Saccharomyces cerevisiae S288C: one gene and its partner. The gene in region 2 interacts genetically with the main gene of each other region. Each region holds a gene or a part of one and is shown on either strand. Other genes may lie near its edges.

The links. Genes that interact genetically often act in the same process or in processes that back each other up.
Region 1: mutations in YFL051C (region 2) and SPO24 together harm fitness less than expected from each alone (positive genetic interaction), as found in Saccharomyces cerevisiae (one large-scale study listed by BioGRID).

What each region holds. Positions count from the first base shown.
Region 1 is NC_001148.4:644,333-646,653, forward strand, and holds SPO24 (Spo24p), read left to right. Parts: upstream 1-1,617; coding exon 1,618-1,821; downstream 1,822-2,321. Other genes in the region: VMA13 (H(+)-transporting V1 sector ATPase subunit H), read left to right, coding at 1-940; ERV2 (flavin-linked sulfhydryl oxidase), read right to left, coding at 2,116-2,321. UniProt on the Saccharomyces cerevisiae protein: Required for efficient sporulation.
Region 2 is NC_001138.5:29,558-32,068, forward strand, and holds YFL051C (uncharacterized protein), read right to left. Parts: upstream 984-2,511; coding exon 501-983; downstream 1-500. Other genes in the region: ZNF1 (DNA-binding domain containing protein), read left to right, coding at 1-72.

The DNA of each region.
Region 1 (2,321 bases), on a different chromosome or scaffold from region 2:
AAACAACAACTTGATCAATATCTTGCAAAACATTGAGCAGATGGACACTTGTTACGTGTGCATCAGACTATTGCAAGAACTGGCCGTGATACCAGAGTATCGTGACGTGATATGGTTGCATGAGAAGAAGTTCATGCCCACCTTATTCAAGATCCTGCAACGTGCCACGGACTCTCAATTGGCCACGCGGATAGTTGCAACAAACTCCAACCACCTGGGTATTCAATTGCAGTACCACTCTTTACTATTGATATGGTTGCTGACCTTTAACCCAGTTTTTGCAAACGAGCTAGTCCAGAAATACTTGAGTGATTTCTTGGACCTCTTGAAATTGGTTAAGATAACCATAAAGGAGAAAGTGTCCAGATTGTGCATATCCATCATCCTGCAATGTTGCTCCACGCGCGTCAAGCAGCACAAGAAGGTGATTAAGCAACTTTTGTTGCTCGGCAACGCGTTGCCCACCGTACAGAGCTTGAGCGAAAGAAAGTATTCCGACGAAGAATTGCGTCAAGACATCAGCAACCTCAAGGAAATCCTAGAAAACGAGTACCAAGAATTGACCTCCTTCGATGAATACGTCGCCGAATTGGACTCCAAGTTGCTGTGCTGGTCTCCACCACATGTCGACAACGGTTTCTGGTCCGATAACATTGACGAGTTCAAGAAGGACAACTACAAGATCTTTAGACAATTGATCGAACTCTTGCAAGCAAAGGTCCGTAACGGCGACGTCAACGCGAAACAAGAAAAGATCATTATCCAAGTCGCCTTGAACGACATCACTCACGTGGTCGAGCTTCTACCAGAGAGCATCGACGTTCTCGACAAGACTGGCGGCAAAGCCGACATCATGGAGTTGCTGAACCATTCAGATTCTAGGGTGAAATACGAGGCCCTCAAGGCCACGCAGGCAATCATTGGATATACCTTCAAATAAAGATATAGAAGACCGTAAAGTAGTAGTGGGTTTGAAGCCTAAATAAGTAGTTTTGTACGTACTATTATTTTAAGAGAAGAACATCCATAGAAAAGAAAAGAAGAAAAAGAAACGAACCAGAAGAGGGTAGCAGAATCAGTCATTCACGCACCCGGCCTGCGCTGCGTGCACCGACTGCGTGCGTGCGTGATTGGTAATGCAGTGAATCATGCTTTTTCATGACGCCTCCTCCCCGCCCCTGAGCCTTCGGTGGCCGCCGAAGTCGGGTATTAATGGGCGCCCCTTTCCTGGTGTCCGGGAACCGCCTGCCGAAAACCACCCTCCGCAGGTCCGCGGAAGGTGGGTGTGGCTGTCCCCGCGCAAATCCGAGATCGATTCCGCGGCGGGTCGGTCATTCTTTTCATTTGCGCGCTAATATGCGCTGTGACTGGCGGTTAGTCATCTGCGTGATCAATCGTTGTCATGACGCTCTATAACGTAAGAGAACTTTAGAGGGGGCTCAATTAGCATGAAGAACAGACACATATATAAGGTCTCTAGATTTCTCCAATAGCTCAACTCTCACAATTGTTTCCTCTAGTCCTTGTAAAATATAAAAAATCATCATCAAACAAGCAACTACAAAACAGCTTTACTGACAACTCACACAAATAACACAAAAAACAAAAATTTCAACAATGGTCGCCTTTTTAGAACTAACTTCTGACGTTTCTCAACCTTTTGTCATCCCATCTCTTTCGCCAGTCTCTCAGCCAAGCTCAAGAAAGAACTCTGACGCAAACGTCGATGACCTGAATCTGGCTATTGCCAATGCCGCTCTTTTGGATGCCTCTGCTTCAAGCCGCTCACACTCCAGAAAAAACTCTTTGTCTCTGTTGTAAGTGTTGTACACGAGAATTAGCACACTATTAGCATAAAAGACACTTGGCATCTTTACTTACTTGGGCAAGTAAGTCACGTACTTTTTTTTTTTTTTCCGGAGCATTCATTGTCATTCTATCTGCACTTTCCCGCACTTACATTCAATAACCTCGGATCGGGTCTCTTCTACGACAGAAACTTTTTGATATATACATATTTATGTAATATAAATACTGAGAAAGTAAAAAAATTTAAAATATAAAATAATAAAAAATTTACTATTACTATAATTGATTAATGTAATCTTTCTTTGTTCAACCGTGCTGTTTAGCCTCCTTCTCGAGAGACACGCGTTTACCGTCGCTGTCACTACATCCACAATCGTAGTCCTCCAGGATGGTAGCACAGTCATATATGTCTTTCTTTAGGTATTCGTTCACCTTGTTGTGAATGTGGCATCCCCACATTGCGGCAGCCGTCCTGCTAGATGTCTGTACGGGATACTTCTCAATCAACTTTA
Region 2 (2,511 bases):
ATCACGCTTCCTCTTTCTAATCCGCTTGAATCGACAGATGGTTCTAAAGAAGATGTAGATGCGCTTCCTTAAGTAAACACATTGCTACTTGCATTTTACCTTTCAAGATGTAGTGATTACGGACAGTTGAAGAGGCTAATAGCATCTATTTCTTCTTTAGTATATGGTTCCTGCAGGGCAAACAATTATTTCCTTTGCAATTTTGCGGCAGTGGGGAAGAATGATAGCACTAATAGTGAACTTGTGGACAATTATGCTATTATAGCAAGAAAAAAAATTTATTTTTTTTTCAAGGGGGGTGATTGTGATGTGAATTAAATCAAGGATATACGCTTTTATCGTCATGATAGTCGTGCGATTTGTACTTGGTTATAGATGAAATGAGTTAGTTTTTAATAATTGTGATCACAATATAGCTGTACTTATCAGGCCATTAAAGTTTCCTGTAAGGTGCACGAGAAGTCATGGTCATAAAATTATCAGAATCTCCAAGGAGAGGTTCAACGGCGTCGGTTGCCCATACTCCATATTAAGTACCCTGTCATTTCCACAGTTACATTAGTTGGAGTAGTATAGAAACCAAAAAGATCAGAACTCCAATAGGCAGTATTTGGGTCACAGTATTCAGTGTCACGTTTTTTAGTTTCATAAAGAGGTCCGCAAGGATCATATCCATCCTCATCACGCTTCAAAACTGCATAAGTCACACAGGTAGGAGTGCTCTCACAAGGCGGACTATAGTATATGGAGAGATTGGTCTGTCCGCTAACGGAACCTAACTTCTTTGTATTGGAGTATTCATAGCCCATATATTCAGGCTCCAAGTATGTGGTTTGGTCGCCTATTGTGTACTCATAAAAATTAATATTCATACCATCTTCCCTTTTGTTTGTTGGTAAGCAAGCTTCTGTACTGGCTAAGGTTGTAGTAGCTAGCGCCACGAAGACCAAGAGTGCCGAAAATACGGAATGGGGTATAGACATTTGAAGGTGTGGAGGGATGCTGGTATCCTCCAATTGTTACATTAAGATTATCATCTGGCTATCATGAAATGAAGGTTACCTTTATATAAGAAAGACTTTTAAAAAAATGTTTTGTTTTCTGCTTTAGGGAAGTAGATATCGTTCCTGCATTTTGATATCAAAATAATCTCCGGTAGGCATCAATTGCAGTTAAAGCTCTTTCTGGCAAAAACCCCGATACCCATGTAGGTACGCTCTTTTCACCAGGTCTTAATAATTTGATGGGCACCGTTTATCCCAGGCAAGCCAAAAATTAGAAACAAAAAACAACTCACGTACGTTAAAAAACCTGATAGTGCTTCGTACTACATAGAACCCTGCGCTGTTATCTGCTAATCGAGCACTACTAAATTCCCTCCAAAGGAAGTAGAGTATAGATTCTATGCACCGATGTGAAAATAGTAAACCTACGATAACCTTTTTTTTTTTACTAACCGAATTGAGCAGATATTGTTACCTGTTACGGTCATAAAAGTTAAACGATTTTGCTTTATTTCTGTCCCTGGCTGAAAATAGTAAAGAAGAGGGAAGGCAAGTTCAAGGGCAGCTTAATAAGTCATACGAAAACGTTCTCGAACTTTTTTTCTGCAAGCTTTTCAGAACCACGATGGAAAAAAGAAATTTTTACAACACTAATGCCAAGTAAGGTTTTTCGGATTTAGGGTGGCGTCCTGAAAAAAAAAGAAACGTCTCAGAACGTTTCGGAGAAAAAAAAATAAGGTGTCAAATTTCTTAGTGTTTTGACGGGTGATGCCCTTCCAGATAAATCTCGTGGAGATTGGCTAGCGTCAAACGTCACCGATCTCTATTTCTTTTTTAGGTTATTAAATTTCGATTACATCGCGTGTTCTTAGATAAGTTACCAAGGGTGCTCAAAGGAAAATTATATTTCTTTTTTTCTTTTGAGTAATTGCAGGTGAAGAGATACAGAGCAAGGAACGTGATGTAATGCATTTTTTTTTTTGTTCCTTGGAACCACATGATTTACTCAACAAATTAATCTAGTTTGTGCTTCAAGCATGCACCATTGTGAATATTTTTTTAGTTTCAAGGTGACAGGTTATGAAGATATGGTGCAAAAGACAAATGTATGGTGGCAGGCATAGTAAAATGATGGTGTGGAAGACATAGATTGTATTTGTTTTGCATTATCCAAGTGCTCGAGATTGGTTCTAAAAAACAAGAAAATAAAGGGCAAGAAGAAAACCAGTTACTTCTACATTGAGAGGCCAGCCAGGTTGCCGCACACGTGTTGGTGCACGTTAAGTTTTGGGCTCACAGTGGTAAATCATAGAAAAAGCAGTTGCTTAATTTCCCTCTTTTTCATATTCTCTACGCTAGCACTGTAAGGAAAAACGCAGAAAGCAACATACAACGTTTGTTAGGATGTTCGTACTTCACAATAAGCAGACAATAACCATTTCAAGTGTAAAAAAAATTTTTTTTCTGTTAGTTTGATGCAGAAGACTTATACTTTTAACTTTTTTGG